Linked DNA regions of Drosophila melanogaster. The protein of the gene in region 2 interacts with the protein of the main gene of each other region in a pairwise test. Each region holds a gene or a part of one and is shown on either strand. Other genes may lie near its edges. The genes, in order: CG14535 and CG8508.

The links.
Region 1: the proteins of CG8508 (region 2) and CG14535 interact in a two-hybrid assay, tested with the Drosophila melanogaster proteins (one large-scale study listed by BioGRID).

What each region holds. Positions count from the first base shown.
Region 1 is NT_033779.5:7,848,749-7,859,934, reverse strand, and holds the start of CG14535 (uncharacterized protein), read left to right. Parts: upstream 1-4,459; 5' UTR 4,460-4,911; intron 4,912-6,568; 5' UTR 6,569-6,633; coding exon 6,634-6,978; intron 6,979-8,194; coding exon 8,195-8,528; intron 8,529-9,395; coding exon 9,396-9,629; intron 9,630-10,345; coding exon 10,346-10,936; intron 10,937-11,085; coding exon 11,086-11,186. Other genes in the region: TwdlE (TweedleE), read left to right, coding at 1,011-1,365.
Region 2 is NT_033777.3:13,181,877-13,191,837, reverse strand, and holds CG8508 (uncharacterized protein), read left to right. Parts: upstream 1-5,341; 5' UTR 5,342-5,369; coding exon 5,370-6,173; 3' UTR 6,174-6,312; downstream 6,313-9,961. Other genes in the region: CG8141 (uncharacterized protein), read right to left, coding at 35-137; CG14380 (uncharacterized protein), read right to left, coding at 2,612-2,887, 2,952-3,131, 3,198-3,248; CG8138 (uncharacterized protein), read right to left, coding at 9,735-9,961.

The DNA.
Region 1 (11,186 bases), on a different chromosome or scaffold from region 2:
CGTGATTGTGAGCGGTTACAAACGATCTCGCTTTATTTGTCTTGTTCCACTTAAGATTGGAAAAATATGGGGAAAAAACACATTGTTGTGTTATGAGTATATAATCCAAGGCACTTATGCAGATTCTCTCACAATTCATCGGCGTAAACCAGGCAGTGCCGTCAACTCCCAAAGATAATAACTAGACAAATGTTGCAAGAGACCAGCCGGCAATCATCTAATCCAGCTCAGGGCCCTTTTCCACAGCTGTTGCCACATTTCCAGGGTATTTAGAGGGTCGCTTAAACGGAGGAGGAACATTATTTAATACCCGCGAAAACGAAAGCCATCCAACTTTCCTCTCTTTTCGCTGATACAATGTTTTCTGTCGTCTTCTGTCTGTTTTCAATTGGAGTTGGAAGCGATGTTAATTACCACGAGAGGGGAATGATATGGCTTTGCAGACCGCCAAACCGTGACTAAAACGTTACCTAAGCTCGCCGCAGCACTTGTACTCGTATATATCTCAGTACCATTTCCAAGCAAATTATCAGGCGCAGAGGGACAGGAACTCGATTACCATAGGTAGCTTTATGTAAACCCTCGTCTCGAGGCGGTTGTTGTGACAATCGCTGTCATCGTCACAATAGTCATCATCTTCATCTGATTAGTAAAACTGACAAGCAGCTGCAGTGGGTTCAACGTTGTCGGGAGGTCACCATTTTCGGGAGGTCACCATTTATGGGCATGCCATTTGCATGCACCTCAAAGAGAAACTCCTTTCTCCCGCATCGCGGTATTTGTTCGTTCAACAAGGCAAGGTTATAGGAAGTGTGGAAAGTCATTCCAGCCTGGCCGTGTGTAATTGAAATTTTTTTATTCAGTATGTAAATTTTTACAAGCCGGAAGCAAAAAAAGTTGCGTTATATGAGGATGTGGTGTCTTACTTTACCCATAGAATTCCTAAGAAATTCCTTAAATACAGATATAGCAGAACCTTTATTTAAATACATTTTTAAATATTTTCCCAGGAAACCCCTTTACGTGCCACCTCCGCAGAAGCACTACAAGATCGTCTTCATCAAGGCGCCATCTCCACCAGTACCGACCGCCCCTGTAATACCGCAGTTCCCACAGAACGAAGAGAAGACCCTGGTGTACGTGCTAGTCAAGAAGCCGGAGGAGCAGCCGGAGATCATTATCCCAACGCCAGCTCCCACCCAACCCAGCAAGCCGGAGGTGTACTTCATCCGCTACAAGACCCAGAAGGAGGAGACCGGACCCTATCCCAACAGTGTGGCGCCTCCAGCGCCCGAGTACGGAGCTCCAGCTGCCCCGCCCGCACCCTCTGCTCCCAGCAGCTCGTATGGGGCACCATCCCACTAGGCGATCCAGTCCAACCCGAATACCGATTTGCTTATCTCAACCCAACTCATGGCAAACTGCATATCTTATGTGTATTGTATTATTTTCTGTTTCAAGGACCTTAACGCGTGACAAAGTTTACCAAGCAACGAATCTCCCCCATCCCCTCTCCACACCCAGCTCATAGGATTATTACTCCTATAGATGAGTAATTCTTATCTCTGATGTTGTTTCTACCTGATGTACGAGAAGTATGTTTTCCATCTAGGCTGTTTGTTTCAAATTGTTTGTTTAGTCTTAAGTCTAGGTCTTTAAGCGAACGATGCGTTATACACTCACACAAAACACTCGAAACACTCACTGCGAGCTAGCCTTAGTTATCGATAGAGATATCGATCCTGATACCGATTAACGATATATACGTGGTACATGATTTTCATCACAAACGCATTTTCAAGTAGGCAATTTATTCCAATTTCATATTGCACATTTCGCACACGATTTGTCATTAAATAGAATGTGCGAAGCACTCGAAATGCAACAAAAAAAAATGAAGATTAAAATGATACTCAAGTATATAATGTTAAAAACACAAAACATCAATGGCTAAATAAAAGTTTAACGAATTATCTGTACAAGATGGATTTCTTTTTGTATGTTTCACATTGCAAGTCTTAACATATGTGTACATATATTTATATATATCTGTTTACTATACATTTTCATTTGCCTCGCAAATGTATTTGAAATCAGAAGTACAAGAAGCAACCCACATGCCACCGTTATGTATAGAAACGCAACGCTGATCTACATGTTCGTATAGTGGCTCTCCAGGATTCCATTTCAAAAAAGGTGCTCTCTTTCCGGAGGACACAGATATGAAAACGCCCTTTTCAGCCAGATCACTAATGCCAATCATATAAGTGTTGTCTTTGCTTAGTTGCGAAACGATAGCATTAAAGTCTGCTTCATTTATAATTGAGGCTAGATTACCTCCCATCTTTTGACATGCGCTCAAAGCACTGGTCCAATTTTGTTGGACTATGTCTTCGATGTGCAAATATCTCGATCCGATTCGCTTGAACCTATGTAAAATATTTATTTTCGCAGACATATTCTTCAGCGACGTCGTTATACTAGTCAATGCTTCCTGTAGGTCAGATAGTTGACCCTCCATCTTAAGTTCTGACCTATTGGTTCTGTTCTCGATATCCTCTGCAATGATCTTCTTCCACGATTCCGTTAGCGATGTCTTCTGGCTTTCAATTTCTTTTTCAATATCCCTCTGTTGGGCCTGTATTTCTTGCAACTTGCAGGTTTTCCACTGTTCCTGGTGCTGGGCAATGTGACCGATCAATGGCATCAGCGCTTCGAGGCTTCGACACGATCTGTCTCCTCGCATCCTGAAGGTGATGCATTTATAACTATTGCGATAATTGCGTAATATAGGAGAACTTTCAGCTGGAACATGCTTAGCAAATTGAACCTCTTTAGACGAACGTTTATAATGCACTAAATGTGAATTCCTATGCTGCAGTCTGAACAGCAGCGCAATATTGTTGATAAGAATTTATAGATATAATATATATTTTACTGGAAAAATAAATATCATGCTAAGTATTTTCAGCTTACGCTAAAAATAAAAAATAATATAAGCTATAGTGATAATTATGACAACAGCGCAATATGAACAGCAGCGCAATATTGTTGATAAGAATTTATAGATATAATATATATTTTACTGGAAAAATAAATATCATGCTAAGTATTTTCAGCTTACGCTAAAAATAAAAAATAATATAAGCTATAGTGATAATTATGACAATACTTGGATTGAAATTATATATAAAAGCATATCATGAAAATATATTAAACAGTAGTACAGATAAGCAGGAACTTTTATGTTAAATATAGTTTAACGATTTCTTATTTTCATTGCATGTTAATGAACTCAAGATTCAAACTACAACGCCGTTGGCGTTGCCACGTTATGTTCGCCCGCCAGATGGCGCCGCAGCTAGCCTCCAAACTGTACGCAAGTGCTTCTCAAACTTTTTATCTCCATTCACCGAACTTGAGCTTTGTTTCGTTTATTTGCTTGCGTTTTATTTTCTTTGGCGCTTGGATTGCATACAATTTGATTTGCTCGATGCGGAAAAACGATTTTCACGGAATTTCCCTTAAGTATTAAGATAATTAGTAGCGAAACACCTTAAAACGGATTGGATTACAGCCCTTTTCCCGCAGCCACCTTAATAACAATCAGCCGGGTCCACTTTAATTGACCCGTTACCGTTGTCCACTTGGTGAAAAAAAATGGAAAAAAAGTAGAGGTAAATCCGTGCAAGCCCCATCCATTCCGGTGCACACATGCTTTTAAACCCGAACACACACTCAACAGCTCCTTCACGAGCCTGCCAAATGTAAGCGAACTTAAAAACACATCGTTTGCATTTGGCCCCTCTGCCCACCACTCACCCATCCCCATCCACGAAAAGCCCCATCATCACCTCACGCCCACTCTGCCCCCTGAAAAAGCCCCCTCCATCAGCAGAAACTCCAAGCGGCACTTAAGTGACGCTCCAGCAGCTCAACTATCACCATGTCCATATTCCTTTTATTCCAGGTACTCACGCAGAAAAAAGGTATATTGTATTTGTACTGTTGCATCCCAGAGGCGGTAAAAGCTATGGATTTCAATCTTTGAATGCTAACGCCTGCACTTTTAACTCAATTTTTGGGGATAACCAACTTTTAAGTATTTATAAAAAAGATTTTGTTATCTATTTCTTAAGCTATATATTCTTTTAATAGTTTAGTAATAGTGTTTAAAAATATTTAACAATGAGACCATACTTTATAAATTTTTTTTTTTTTTAAGTAAAACATATTTTTTGTATAATACATTACATTATTGTTTTAAGGTAAAGAAATAATGGTTACTAGCGTTTAAAGATCGAGTGACCATGGACATCTTCTAGTAAAGACGAGGTATCACTCTATTTTAATGTTCCTGGCCAGTGAGCATTTTGACGTCTACAATATAAACATCATTTACGCTGTTCCTTTTGTTTTAGCCTCGCTGATTTTGTTTACCTGAGCCTCAAAGCCACTGTCGTTGGCCGAAAGCAAGAGATTTTCCGAAAGAGAGTGAAAGAGTGAAAGTCCGACTACCCTTGGGGTCAGCAATGTGGCGTTACCATACGCGATTCGCTCTTTCTTCTGGCACGCCTGCGCCAAAGAGAGGCGGAAAACTCTTGGGAAATTCAGGCCCAGACCGAAGACCAAAACCGAAACCAAAAACCCGACTTCAGTTGCCATTGTAATGCCAACGCAATCGGCACGCGTTTGGCTTTCGCGCCTGGCGGGTTTTTTATTTATTATTCGCTAAAGTGACAAGCCAATACAAAAGAAAAACAACAAAGCTCGCTGAGAATCGGGGAAAATCCCAGTGTGTTGAATATAAAGTATAAATCATGTGCGAGGAAATCAAGGCAATTTGGAAAGTCGAAGGAGTTGAGCCAAAGATGAAATCAACAGCGAGAAATTGCCAGTCATAAAAAAAGGGTTTGTGTTTGTTCCTGTTTCGTGTGTGTTTGCGTGCCAGTGTGCTTGTGTGTGTGTGTTGTGCCAAAAGGGAAATCCCTTAACCCCCGCCTACCCGCTACCCCGCAGGACCCTTAACCCCTGACTTCAGCTAGACTCCCCTATTGTGCGTCGTGTACAATTAGAAGGCATTGCCAATCGATTTGTGTGAAAAGCCAAAGCTAAAACTCAAAAGGTGGACGACGCCAGTCCTCCAATAAAAAGCGAACTGAAACCGGGCAGGCAAAAAAAAAGTAAGGGACAAACCCATATAAAAGAATGGAAAAGCTGCCGAAGAAGTTCCCTCCAGTTGGCAGGTGCGCGTAGCCTGAAAAATGAAGTTGAACCGACCCGAAGTTGTTGCCTGTCATTCAAAGGGGATGGCAATGGAATGGCAATACAGAAGAGGCCAGCGTGTATGGAATGGGGAAATTGGGGCTGGGAATCGGGGGACAATATTAATGAAAGACGTTGCAAAAACGTCACGTTTTCCCCAGTCAAATTGAAATAATAATAATGAAGGCATTGAAGAAATGTCACGGCCCGCGACTGACAAGTAAAAATGAAGAAATCCAGTGGAATTTGCATGAATATCTCAAATATATGTAAAGTTCAGCACAACAAGTAAAGTTAATAATTTCAGTGATATAAAACATAACAAGCACGATAAGAAGCATGCCCCAAAAGCATGCCATTCCGATATCTAAGTTTGAGTGACACGCCTTAGAAAGCCCATCCCAAAGGAACATTTTAAAGATGTTCAGACAGTTCCTCAGAGAAATGAAATAATAACTTAATTAAACTCAAGAATAAAAAAATAAAAATTTAAAAGTTAATAAAGCTTTGCAAAAGCAACGGAACCTTTACCAGAAATATTGTGTGACTATAACAAATTTAAATTTAAGGTATTAGAAATTAAACCACATTTAAATATATAATCAATTCTAACAGTAATCATAGAAAAGTTTTTAATTAATTTTTTAATTAATACTGTAACTAAAGTCCTAATGTTTTCGGTAATAGAATGCAAAACCTCTAAAACACTTTATAGCTCCAACAAAGAACTGAAAATTGTTAAAAGTCTGGGCTTAAAACTTTTTTTAATGACCGAAAGGAACTTAAAAGCGTGTACATAAACTTTTCAAATAGAATTAAACTGATGTGAAATACGACAGTCCCAAAAGAACACTAGAAAGACAACGAAGCGCATAATTTCCCACCATAAAAGCCCAAGCAAATTCAACATAAATTTGATTTTATGCACAAGATGCTACAAGTGAATAAAACACGAGCTTAGTGACAGTGACAGTGCGAGCGTGATAGTGATGATAGTACAGTGAAGCATATGCCCAATAAACAGATGGCCCATAACCATAAAGCGAAAGTGTTATGGCCATTACCGAAGGGCAAGGACCCTTCTTGGCGGCAGGACCAAATAACTTATGCCCATCGGGCCGAACCGAAATCGCAATTTATGACAGGCCCAGCAACTATTTAAAGAACCATAAAACCCCCAAAAAACAAACAAAGTTTATGGGGAGTGACGATTGCATTTTAAGATCCCCAGACATAAAACAAAAGCCAGGATTTGGGCCTCTTATTAACTCCCAATTTTATTCGTTACCCCTCCCCACAAAAGGAAACGCAAGTGCTTCCAGCAATAAACTTCCACCGCCAACTGTGGCGAACAATAGTCAAGGAACCATGGCCACCACCAGTACGTCAAACATGTCCCGCAACGGTGGCTTCTGTGGTGCATTGCAGCGGGCACCGCCGCCGATGCCGCCGACCCTCATCCGACGCCTGAGTAGCCGGGAGTGCTACGGAGTGGGCAAGGTGAAGGTCATGCTGCGGGTGGCGGACCGGGACAGGAACTCCGGCGGAACCGAGCCGGACTTTATGGCCCTGGACAAGAAGAAGCGACAGGTCACGCTCACCGATCCGAGAACCGCGTGTCCGCCGCCCCAGGCTGCCCAGGAACGGGCGCCCATGGTGGCCGCTCCCAAAATGTTTGCATTCGATAACCTCTTCACTGGCGAGGATAAGCAGGTGAGTTTCAACCTTAACGAAAATCTGAATGGAGTGCACGTTCACACATGGATGTTGAACCAATTTATTTAAAGCATCCTTAGATCCAGAATAAGTTTAAGAAATAGGTATAAAACATCATAAGTATAACATCAATTAAATCAAGTTGAAATATTCTAAAAATCGTTTGAAAAATATGTAGTTAAAAGTATTAATTCTAATTTATTTAAATGTAAATAGCAAATTTGTTTAAATAATAACAAACAAGAGCAACCGTTACCAAGTAAACTAAATACTTGATTGGTTACTGTTGACACACAGTATAATTTAGGTGGCAAATAACCCTTATTAACAGCTATTAATTCTTGATAAACAAACAAAAGGCCCACCTAATAATAATAAGGGTAATACAATATTGACAATAAAACCATTCATTATGTACAAAAAACTACAAAACTTCCGGCAACTGAGAGTTAACACTTTGCCAGTGTACTTTGCTTTTCTCAAAATCAACAAAACTTTCCAGACTTCTCGCGATGTTATTTGTCTGCAGAAAAATGTCCCTAACGTAAATATTGAGTTGCAATTATAAAAGTTAAATTGACCGTGGGAATCCTTTTGTGAGAAGGGCACATCTGTGCATTATATGAATAATTTGGTGCAAACGATAAATGTCTGGATTTTTTGTCTCGAAGCTATGCCATTTAACTTGTTAAGAGATTACAAAAGAGGTGTTAGTAATTCCACAGAATAACAAGTCACCACAAAATACCACAATCAATCTTCATAATACATAGCAAGCAAAGTTCCTTTTCAAGATTTATGACCCTCCAAGTGCAATCACTCATAAGGCAATCCCTCAGACCGAACGAAAGAAATACCCCCAATAGAATTAACACATACGCGTATTGTCCTGCCCCATCGGATCTAATCAGCAATCGAATTAACCCCGCAATCGAACCCAATTCCAGCCATTAAAGAGAGCCCATTAGTATGCCTTGTTAGCCACCACCCACTGACCTCCACTCCACACCTATTCGTTTTCGATAAACACTAAGAAAAATGCTTGGTGCTTGTAAGGAAGGAAATTGGAAAATATCTTATATCATTTATATTTACTTATTGATACCCATTGAAACCATCATTATTATAAACTCCTATATATTACCATTTAGTTAAGTTCTTAAAAAAATGCCCAACCTTTTAACATTTTCTCTCTGTGCATCGTATATTCCAGTCGGATGTGTGTGCATCGGCGCTGAGCGAAGTGATACCCGCCGTGCTCGAAGGTTCCGATGGCTGCCTGCTGGCCATGGGATATCCCGCCACCGGCCAGGCCCAAACGGTGTTGGGAGAACTGGGCGGTGGTAGTGGGAGTGGCAGTGCCAGTGGCAGCGGTGTGGCGTGTTCCCTGGGAGCAGCACCCTGCGCCATCGCCTGGCTGTACAAGGGCATCCAGGAGAGGCGGCAGAAGAGCGGAGCACGCTTCTCGGTGCGGGTCAGTGCCGTGGGCGTCAGTGCCACCAAGCCGGATGCCCTATCGCAGGATTTGCTCATCTCGCATGCAGCCGGTAAGCATATGGCAGACAGGAGGGGTCTTTGGCCAGGATCGGGGGTACATAGCTCAACGTTTCCAGGTCAACTACTAAATGTGCCACTATTCATTATAAGCTGAAGGCATTCCTTTCTTTGTAAGAAGTAGTTGTCTTTATTATTTGTTATTTAAGTTGAGTTTAAATACATATAGCTATACTGCTCACTTCGAGATACTTTTATGCTCAGCTGTAATAAACAATGATTTTAGAAAATTCTTAAGCATAAGAAGGATTTTTTATAATCATCAGATTCATATATATAATTTTATATGCTTCTTTACATTATTATTTAAAATGATTAACTTGTACAAAAAACATAATCAAGACCTAAATACATATATATAATCAAGATTAAAAGTTGACTTAATTAACCAAGGCCAGCGAGTACTCAGAAAAGCTAATATTCTTTGGGTGTGTTTGCTTCTAGTTACCCGCTTTAACAGATCTTTGTTTAACTTGCCTTTTCCCTTAATTTCGGGTAGTTAGTAACTGGCAACTGGTCCACCTGTTAGATGCCAGCGGGCAGAATCGCCGGCAGAATAAATGGCTCCGCTGTGTGCGGTTGCAGGGGGCGTGGCATAATGTTGCCCCTGGGCCAAACAATGATGATGATGACTGGGGCGGGTCGGGGTCGTAACTGGCCCAATTTGAATAAACTTAACCTGGGCAGCAGTTCCGACACCAACCCCACCTTCTTATCATCAACGGAACAGCACCCCCACCTTATCCCCGTAGAATACGGCGTTTATTCCCACATAAAACCTAATGCCCTTTTCATTCACTCCCCGCTTCTTTTTTTTTGGTCCCAATACTGGAACTCCGGCTCCGACTACGGCTACACAGAATCTGACGACTCCCCGGGGATTTATTTGCGTGACGACTTCCTTGGCGGTCCAACGGAACTACGTGCACCCACCGCCGAGCGTGCGGCCCTTTTCCTCGACTCAGCGCTCGCCGGACGCTTAAAAAGTTCCGGTTCCACGGCATCTGGGAGTTCTGGATGTGCCGCCCCCTTGGAGTCCGCCCTCATCTTCACGCTGCACGTCTACCAGTACAGCCTGTCCCGCAAGGGAGGTGGTAAGTGTCCAACACATTGTTGTTGTCGTGCCCTGCAAAATTTGGGGTGTTGGTCTAAGTTCTGGAGCAGTAAAGCTTGTAAAAATCATAAAATATGGCAACTACAATGTATTGTATAGATACAGTACAGCTACCAAAACTTGAATATGCATCTTTAAGAAATTGTATCCATATTATATTTATTTAAATATTTTTGAACAGCATTATCATATTCCAAAAACGAATTATTAGCCAGTATCTTTAGGATTACCTTCTACTCTTCTTTTTCAATACATTTCTTTTTTAATTTTCATACGTGGAAGTCTAGAATCCTTTTTAAGCCTTTTTCGAATAACCTAGAGTATTTCATTCTTCGACTTTCGAAGTGTTCCCTTTTCCTTGTTATTGCTATTGTTGCTGCCACTTTTGTTGCTGCTGCCACTCAAGTGGCCCGCTAAATGCTTCACTACCACTAGACGGCAGCGCCATTAAAGTGTCGCATTTCCTCCACTCCAACACCCAGCGCCACCCCCATTTAAACCCACTCCCACCCACTTGCCTCTTATGCAAACACATGGAGAAATGGAACTAAATATCAGTTATGCTTAAGCATTTTATCAACTGATTTTTAAGAGCTATAAATCCAATTTGTTTTTTTTTTAATTTTAACAATTGAAATTGTTAAACTACTTTCATAAATATACTTAATATATTTTCAATATTTTCTCTCTGTGCAGTTGCTGGCGGTCGGAGCCGTTTACATATCATCGACCTGGGCGGGTGTGCGAATCGCAACGGGGGACTGCCGCTGTCGGGGATCGGTAACATACTGCTCGCGATACTATCCGGCCAGAGGCATCCCCCACACAAGGACCACCCGCTGACGCCGCTGCTCAAGGACTGCCTGGCCCCCATTACCTGCCATGTGGCCATCGTGGCCCATGTGCGACCAGAGCAGAGCTATCAGGACGCACTCTCCACCATTCAAATCGCATCCAGAATTCATCGGCTGCGTCGCAGGAAACATCGTGTTCCCATGCCCTTGGCTGTGGGCTTGGCCCAAGGACTCGGCGGCAACGGCTCCTCGGCGGGATCGGGTGCGGATCCGTCGAGCTCGGAAATCTCAGCCGACACTGTCATCTATATGGGGCCCAATGACGATGCCACGGATGGGGAACATCCGCCCGTATATCTGCCATCGCTGACTGCGGGGGATAATCGCGGGGTGATGAGTAAAGCCCTCAAAGGGAGTGGGCTGGAGAAGCCCCCCTCGAAGTCAGCTTCCAACAGTCCCATGATGATGAAAAAAGCCATGGCAGCGGAAAAAGGTAAAACACTTAAATTATTTAAAAGTTAAGCTGACAGCTTACATACAATAGAATTTATTTGGCCAAGATGTTGGTTGCTTTTGACCTATTGCTACCATCAAAGCCCTTATTTATAATTCACATATTTTTTGCTTACTTTCCAATTTCAGCTAAAAAGCTTCCGGGAAGCCACACGGGCAGTCTGAAACGTCAGGCGGGAGCGGGAGCCTGCTCCTCGCCAATGATTCCACACGAGCAGCCACAGATACAG
Region 2 (9,961 bases):
ATTAATAATTTTCCATTTAATTGGAATGCCTCACCTTGAAGGCCATGACTAGGATTCTCGGCAGTTTCATTCGCTGGAACTTCTTCATTTATATAGCAATGATTTGGTGGATCATTTTCTCTAGCAACTGCTTCCATTTCAAAATCTTTTTGTGATTATTGTTTTTAAAAACCCATGCTCCAAATTACATAAATATAAATTTGTGCCTGGCAAATTTGTGACAACTGAGTCAAAGCAAACGCGACTTTTTATAATATTCTTAACACAGATCTTAGGTACAATAGTAATTTTATTTCTCGATTATATGAAAAGCAAGACATTTTCAGCGACTTAAATTTGAGGGCATATTAATTAATGACTAAGTTTCACCGTAACATAGTTCATGCCAGATTTTGATTGTTTTGCAGACACTTAGTGATTTATATTAAAACCATTCCAGCATTCCGTCCAAGAATTGCAAAACAGCGAACTACACACGCCGAGCATTTGACAGTTCCGGAAAAACGGCGGAAAATCGAAATTCGTAGCATTCGCCAGATGTGTGACATATGGCGGCATAATTTATGCGAAAATTGAACCGGATAGTGAGTGGAAACTTCGCGGTCCGTTGCCGCTGCATTTAAATTCTGACAATTGTTTGCATTGTCCTGGCAGCACGTCTGCGGCATTGTTTAATCCCGATTTTTCGACATCGATGGGGACCATCGACTGCTTGTTAATTGACCCACATTTGTGAGCTGAGTACATAATTAAAAGAAAATAAAGCGCGGGACGGTCCAAATAAACCCGCCGACAGGCGTTCGCACACATAACAATGACAATAATAATAAAAGTGAAGTTTCATAGCGAAATTACACACTCGAACAGAATTAAATAAAGAACTATTACGCAGTGGTGTAAAATAACCTGTTCTTGTTCTGAATAAAAAACAAGCGGGAGTGTTGCGTGGTAAAATATAATGAAATTTAAGTTTTTAAGACCATCTATAAAATATTTTTAAAGTACTATAATTATATGGTAATGCGTAGCAAAGTATTTCCGAAGCTTGTGGACACACCGTGCGCTTTTTACTTACCCAGTGAAATAACAACTAGCGGAAAATAATGCATATTAATAGCGACTTTTTCACATATTACACAACTGCCGACATTTATCAGGCATTAATAATTACGTGTTAATACGTGAAATATGATTAAATTTTTATCAGTTTACATGAATCACTTTCGCACGTTTGCGTGCGAACAAGGACATTTTATTGGCTTCATTTGGCGACGGACCGCAGAGAAACTGACGTTTGCCCAATCGGAATTACAATCGCAATGCCAGTGGTTCTGCGTCATTTGGCATCCTATATCCCTGTCCACAAAGCGAATCCTTTAGCCTGTCCATTTGCCTGCTGTGAGTGGAGGGGCGTAATACACTGCGTATACGTAATGGGGGTGCCCCAGCGTATACGCAATAAAAAGTGGTAAAGCCGAGCGATGGCACAAGGATAACCGCCTGCGCTGGCCATTAAATGCAACAATAAATTCGGCAGTTCAACTCCAGTCAACTTCGTTGGCATGCCCGAAATTTAATTAGTTGGCATTTAACATTAAGCATTTCCACTGGCGCCGCGGCTGTCATTGGGCTTTGTTTTCGTTTTGCTTTTTATGTTATTTTTCAGTTAATTAAACGCACGCCAACATCTCGCCATTCTAAATTGTGCGCAATTAAATTTGGAATTACTTTCAACTGAGTATTCGCGTAGCTCTCGCCAGCGGCGCGGCAATAACTTAACTTGAAATTTTATTGTAAGCCCCTGCCTTGCCAACTGTCACTTTTGATGGGCAGCCATTGGAGCGTAATTAGGCTACTACAACGCTCCTAAAAACCCCTACCCAAATTACCAACCCCTTCTCACTACTTGTGCCAAAAAGCTAACTTTAACTTTTCCAGCTTGGCAAGCCTTTAAGTTCGTACCTAACTTCGTTTGTCTGATGCTCGAAAGTGCACTGTCTGCCGGCTTCATTATGCAAAATGCAATGGTACACAAGCCGATGTGAAGAGGCTGCTTGTCTCCCTTATGAGTTGCACTGTTCAGACTTATCCTGGCCAGAATGGTATTTTTTTGGGCCCTGATGGTGCCCAAGCACTCACACATACACTGCATACACTGATGGCATTTTCATAATCGAGAAAAAAAGGTACCGAAAATGTATGTAATGCCAAATTATTAAGACCCAGAATGAGTAAAAATCTTGGAAAGAAAGAAAATTTCAAACTTCAACCCTATTAACTAACATTTATTACATAGAATTACAAAAATATATTGTATAATTATTCTCAAGGCAGGGCATGCCCACTGCGACTTGGATAAACAATAACAGAGATTCTCTTACACTCGTATATGTTTTTCATATCACCTGCGAAGAAAGCACACACACAGAATCGGTGTGTCATGAGTGAAAAAATAAAGGAGGTGAGCAGTTCGTGTCTGTCTGTGCCAAACGAGGTACGAGTGCAATATTTATATTATTGCAGCTACGGCGCCACATTGCAGCGACATGAAATGTTTGGCGTTGCATAAAAACCAAACTTAATGTGCACTCCCACGGGAATGAGGATGAGTTTATTGCTTTTGCGACTCGAGGTAACGCATTCTGTCCCGTTTGTGTCTTCTATGGGACTGAATGATTGTCACAATGAGTAACACCATGATCACGATCAGGATCACCACGCTGATGGCCGACATGCTCAAACTGACCGATTTGGAGGCCATTGCAAAGCTGCTAAAGAGGAAAATTAGTTCCATGGAATCTCCTAGCTTTGAAAATGAAACGCCGGTTAGGAAGTAGTAGGTAGAAGCGCAGTTAAACAGTATCATAATCAAAATCATGGCCACCAGCTGCAAAAATGGGATATTTAAATGTTCGAAATTAGACTTCACCTCCATTTGGCCGACCACCCACCACCAATCGCATGTGCAGACGGGTCCTGGAATAATTCGAGTGGTATAACCAGGTGCTCATGGCGTAAATCAGGCAAATGTAGGCAGTTCCCACGCAGACCACTTGATGGCCCAGCTGCTCATAACTGACGTGGAGGGGCAGGACGTTCCCAAACACCGACGCGTTCAGCACGGAAATGATCTGCGGAGCAGATGACTGGGGTGAGTCACAAGGTCAGATATTAGATGGCAGTCAGGTGCAACTAACCGCCGTGAGGAATAGCAATAACGATACGATTTCCTTGCGGGAGAGTAACATAATGGACGTAACTGGTAATTTAAAAATACTGCAACAGTTACTGATGTTTAACTCAAGGATTGATAAGTCATTTTCTACTACTCATTTTTAATGTGTATTATTCCAACAGGAATGATGGAGTAATTTTAGGTGCATCCGTTTGGTGAATTGCCAATCCCCTGCTGTTGTAGCTCTGTTCTCACTTCATATCCTTTCGAACAAGGTCGTGTTCCCGTCTTCCTAGATTGCCGGCCTATTTGATGAGCGCAAAATCATCGAGAACAAATTGAAATTTGCACCCATCGTGGAAGCTTATCTGCGCCACGCAGGCACTTGCAATGCCACCCATTCCACACAAATGGGAGCGGCAGGCAGCCGGCGCTAATTCATCAACAGTAAAGGCAATTTAGATACTCATCTACCGGATATCGACAGCCAGGCAGCCGGCAGAAGGCACAAGGCAGCCATGTAAGCAGATACCCTCGTCCTGTTCCGAGGACTCCAACCCATCCATTCCGGCGGCTGAGAGCAGCGCGGAGCGTTCTGCAGACAGGGTTTCATAAAATATTGATGGACGTGAAGTTGGCAGCGCATACTCGCTTCCTGTTCCGTGTCTGTCGCAGCCATAAATAATTTGCTGTAAATGCAATCGTGGGGTTACGTGGGGCATGGCATGGGCTACCCTGTGGTTCGAAGTGGGCGCTTTGGGTGCCAGTGGGTGGTGGGAGGTGGGTGGTCATCCGACGGTGGGGGCAGTGGTACGATGCTAATGGCAAGGCGCACGGTGCGAAAGTGTTTCGTATGAATTATTCGCCGGCAGCCAATTTGGAGTCACGTTTGCCAGCACAATTGAAACTGAACACCAACCATCGAACCACCGGCCATAGTGTCAATCCAGTGCTGGCGATTGCAGATAAGAATAAATAGCTATTTCAAAGGGAATCTCGAGTATATATAAAATGAAGAAAGCTTTGGTTATCTAGCTGAATGCAAGGATCGATTGTCTTATTAAAATTGATCAATAATTGTTAAAGACATAATCAGAATTTTTAGAGCAAATAAAGAAACGTGAGAATATTATAATTATTTTGTTAAAATTCAGTTTTATGGATATGGTAAATGTCTTACAAATATATTTGGCTTCTAATCTCTATACATAATATCCTTGATATTCTTAGCTAATAGCTAAGGAAAGTCTATTTCAACAGCACTGCCTTCCTGTTGTGAACCGCCTGTCGAAATGGTGTAATTTGTTATGTCTGCCACTGTAGCCGACCATGTCTATCTTCGGCCCGGGCTGCTTTTTAATAGCCATTCTCCTGCTGGCCGACTGTTGCTCGGCGGTTGTTGTGCCTTTATCGCCGGACTGCCTCCACTCCACCGTCGCCTACTCCTGCTCCTGCTCCTGAGTTCGTCCTGCGCCGGCAGGGTAATGTGTATTTAATGACGCCATCTCATGTACAATGCCCGTATCCGTTCTGCCATGATCCTGGCCTTGTCGACGGACACCGGTTGTCCTCCAGCGCCTAATGTCCAGTGACCGCAGCCATCTGCAGGATAATGCCCCGGCTCCTGGTCGACGGGTGCCAATAAAGCTGCGCCCGCTGGCAGGCATTTCAATTTCGTGCCTGCCCTGCTTTTTTCAATATTTTTAAACGGCAGCCATAAAACGTGAGCGGTAATGTGCGGACAAGGCTGTTTAATTGTACCCCTGCCCTCAGGGCAATCAGCAACTGTTTGTCTCAGATTACGATGGTAAGTCTCTCGATGTGTTTAAACAATAATTGAATTTAAGTACGTTCTCCAAACAATAGAATAGAAGCCCAGAAGAGCAATTCATATCTTGAAACCAGTGCACTGGCAAACTAGTTTGACATGTATGTTCGCCAAAAATTCTTAAATATTATATACTTAATGAGATACAATAGGGTTTTTGGTAATTTTGGGCAACCAAGACATACAGTATCTTTATAAAATCAAAAGGAAATTATGATAACTAAACTTTTATACACAGCTTCCATATCTAGTGATCTTTATTTTCTAGTCATTATCGCAATCTTATTATTATCACTCCGAATATCATCATATTTTTTTTGTGTACATTACTAATATATATTATCCCTAAATCCGTACAGGGCAACGATGAGTCTAAAGGATCTCAATCTGACCAAGGAGCAAATGATCAAGCTTCAGCAGTTGCTGGCACAGGAAATAGAGGACGAAAGCCAGCAGGAGCGGAATGAGCTATCAAACGATGATTTCATAGCCAATGCACTGGATAAAGTGCAAGTTTATGTGGAGGCTGGTAAGCCAGAGGCTTTTGTCCAGCTCAAAGAACCGCTATTATACAAATTTAAGATTACCTCAAATGGAGTAGCTACTGGATCTTCGGAATCGGATAAGTTTCAACGCGCAGACGCCAAGGAAATTGCTCGCTGGAAATCTGACCATGTAATAAATTTGGATTGCATTTCAGACGAGGACTACGAGCAGTTAAGCCAAATTCAAACCGATGAAAGTACTGGAGAAACCTACATGCTCGTGCCCATTGATATAAACATACTCATTGACGATACCGAAATAACTCCTGATACTTCCACAAAGCGTATCACCGAAAATGACGCCTACAATGCGACGGGAGCGGGACACACCATCTATATGCATCCCGAACAAGAGGGGCATCAGACTGGTTTAGATAGAAATCCTCAAGCTAAACACGCTTGCCCGGCTCCGCCAGAAGAGCAGACCAACTACGACTACCACATGCACACTTTCGAGGTGCCCAAGCTGAGTTTTCCCTTTGAACTCAAGTTTGGTATTGATACTGATCGATTGGTGGGTGGCAATGTGGATAAATCGGCTGAGGACTCGGGAAAATCAGATCACGACGACGATCTGGGGGTAGCTACCGAGCTTCAGGACGTCCTAGAGGATTTAGAGGTATAAAGATCATCTTGCTTTTTAACGCCATCAAGGAAATCATTTAGAACAACAAAATTTGTAACTAGCTTTCCAAGTTAGGTGCCTCTCGTTAACTAAATCTTTGTCTTAAATTATAAATATTTTATGAAATTATGTACAAGCTAAAATAATGCTACAGTATTTACAACTTTTTTTCGTGTAAGCATTCCCATTTCCTAAACGTAAGTAATGTGATTTAATTTAGTAGACCCAATCTAACCGATTCAATAAGCGTTCGAATTGCTGTTGCAGTAATAATAATGCTCTTAAAAGGGGTTGGTAAGTAGCCTACATGTTCAAATGCTTAACTAAATGGCACTTCCTCTCAAACAATTGCACCTAATTGCAGACACTTGACCTAAGCTGCATAACAATGACCGTCCACCCAATTAACCCCCCGATATCGGACTTATATATATATATATACATATCGACCAGCCCGCAATGCAATCTCATCCCCTGTTCAATACAATTTCCATTCAGCTTGCAGCACGGCAAAGAGAATATGATAAGAAGCAATGGAAAATTTGCATAAAGCTTTTAGCCTAACGACGCGACATTTGTTTTTTATGTGATTCATGGACCACCCTCACTTTATGTTCATTTTTTTCCATTTTCATCGCAGAATGCAACAACTACCAACTTCCGCACAATTATTCAGCAATTTTAAGCACAACAATCGGACGGCAGAAGGGGTCGAGCTGGGATCTGGCGGAGATCTGGTTGCATGCCTGATTGCCTGGGGGCCAAAAAGCTAGGTCCTTCGATTCCGACATCGACTTGGTCGCTTAAGCAGATTGAAACAATCTCCGGGCTGGGTAAGAGCTTATAGCCCTCATGGACAAAGGGGGGAGGAGGGTTTTCTTTGGCTTTTAACTTTCGCCGGGACTGCCATTATTATTATTCTCCGGCGTCTGCCTGCAACTGTCAGTTGGGTAATTTATAATGAAGTTTCCTTATTGACAGTGGCAGCTTCCCTTCGAATTCCTGGCTCCCGATTCACGATTCGCACTTCCGCTGCAGCGATTCTCCTGCAGTTGGGCATAAATTATGGATGCCTCTATATAATATATCGCCATAAATTGCTTGTCAAGTCGCGAGTCGACAGGCGAGCTAACTAAGATGCCGATGCCGATGCCGATGCCGGCAAACAAATAACAATCAAAATCACTTTTCGACCCCAAGTCGATTTATTTATATGGGACGAAATCTCGGTACTGAGGCCTTAATCGCTGAGGCCAGCCGCATCATGAGATCGTCAATCGTTTTGATTTATTGCTATTTTATTTGCGCATATCCTTATTTGCCTTGGCCGCAAACTTCGAACCCCAATCAAGGCCGAGACTATTTTATTGTTCGATAGCTTATCAGGCAAAGGCAAACAGACTGAGCGCCTTGGAGGCCGGCAAATATCATAATTTTCGCAGGACACGCTGCCCTGTGTTTGTGTTTGTGCTGGTTTCGTCCTGTCACAATGCCGTGCAAGGCATAAATCTGAATTAAATACCATTTTGAGCTGCTCGCAAGGAGTAGCTGGTCGGAGAAAATGTTTATATTCAGCACATTGTCACTTGTTGTGGCCTCTTTCTTGGACTCAACTCAACTCAACTCTGGGCCAGAAATTCCGCCGGGAATTGCTGCTCAGTGGCCCGGGCAAATAAATATTAATCATTGTGTAATAATTTTCTGCTGTCAGCTAAATTCAAGCAAAGTATTCATAATCCACAAGTAAGAACCGCTTTTGACAAATCGCTTTGCGGGCCACTCGCATAAATATTTATATTTATATTCCATGTAGGCCGGCAGTTAAAATGCTTTTAAAGTTGCCGAAAGTTGGGCGCCAGTTGCTGATTTGATTTTTTCAGCGATGTTTCCATTTGTTTTCTCGCCAACTTTCGGCAACTGTAAATCAGTTTGAGATCCTTTGATGTGTGTTTTGGGCTTGGGTTGCGAGAAACGAGATTGCAATAATCAAAATGTAATAAACAGAGGCTCTCACACATCCGCTTTCAACTGGTCGGGTCAAAACCAAAATGTTCTTTATGCACGGGTCCTTTGTACGTGATTGTGTGAGTGTGAGACCTTCTCATCTTGTCCTTTGTGTGTGTGGCTCTCAGCATTCGATGCACGTAACGCATTGTTTGAATTTCATGGCGACTTTATGAGTTTTGTAATCAGGTTTGTGAGCAAACAGACCCAAAAACACACACGCAGCCTAGCACTCACGTGTTAACCTGCACATAAATATTGTTTCTGGTCGTGGGCTCACCGATTCTCAGATGTGGGCGTGTTGACAAGCCGGCCGAGCAGCCAACCGCCCGTTAATGCTAATGAAACCCAAAGTTTGGGCTCGCCTATTAAGCCATTTTGTGGTCTGCAAAATCCACTTAAAACGTCTGGCGGCAACAAAATATTTTATTGCATACTCTTATGCGCAGACATTACCTGCACCTCTGCCTCAGCAATCGGTAAAAATGTTCAACAATGTGATTTATACACGCTGGAAGCACTTAAAACTAGACACACACTTTCACAATAGACTGGTCACACCCCCGGAACGCCCCTTTTGTTGTTTGCTGGCACTTTTGGAGCTCTTCCAAGGATCAGAGCTTAGTCAGCACACATGGAAAAAAAATCAGACACATTTTAAACTGTTAAACTTAAGGATATATACATAGATACAATATAATTTTAAATCGTACGTTAATCATGGTCTAATTCTGAAATGCTATTAGGCAGTTCCTTAAGCAGATTCTTTTATTGTAAAATAATGACCTCGTTATCCTTGGTTTTTTTTCTCGGTGATACTCTATTGTCTGTTTGCCAAACAAAAGCCTCTCTGCAGTTGATGACTAGAAATTAACTAAGCAGCAATAGCAGCAGCAACAATGTTGCCAAGACCGAAGCAATGGGGCTGTCTCAAAGACCGGAGGCCCCACCCCCACCACGGAAAGCAAACAAGTAGTATTTCCAACCCCTCGGCTTGCAAGTCTAGCTATCGGCTGTCCACTATGGAGCATTAAATAAATATTTGCCATGCTCTGCAGGAATTTTGAGACCCCAAGCCCAAGGAACACATCCCTGCCTGCCTGCCTGCCCGTCCGACTGGGAAAAAAATATTCTAAATATCATATCATCAGCATTTTTCGATGGAGTCTCGCCCTGGTTTCCATGGGGCCATGCGGTTTCGGGGGCTGGGATCGTCCAGTGTTTACCATTTATTTTTTGATTTGGGTATTTAAGGTGTAGATGGATGGGCCAAGGCGGGCGTGCGTGTCCAAAAGAGTGTCGCAGTGTGAGTGCGGAGGGGTGAGTATATGTGTGCGGTTGTGTAGGCAGCAGAGTGTTGACAACTTAAGTGGAATTTTGCTTGGTCGAGCGTTGCAAGCATTAGCTTTTATCAGATGACATTAATATTATCTGAAGGACAGTTATTAGTTGGGTTAGAAAGAGACGCATCCTACATTAGACAACTAAGAAATGCACTTTTTAGTCCAATATTTAAATTTATATTCATTGCTCGCCAAAACATTAGTTGAACATAATCTAAGTCTTCTTACGAACGTGGTGGTCGTACAGTATAATGAAACCATATAGATTTGACCTGATCATAGAGCGTCTAACGTTGCTGGAAAAGGGGTTCTTCTTGGTGGTAACGGGTATGTTCTTGTGATCTCCCTTGTGAGCAAACATAAGACCATGTTCCGGATGAGCTACCACCGTATAATTGTCGTTGTCATTCGCAAAAATCTTCCTGGTCTTCCAGTCGTAGA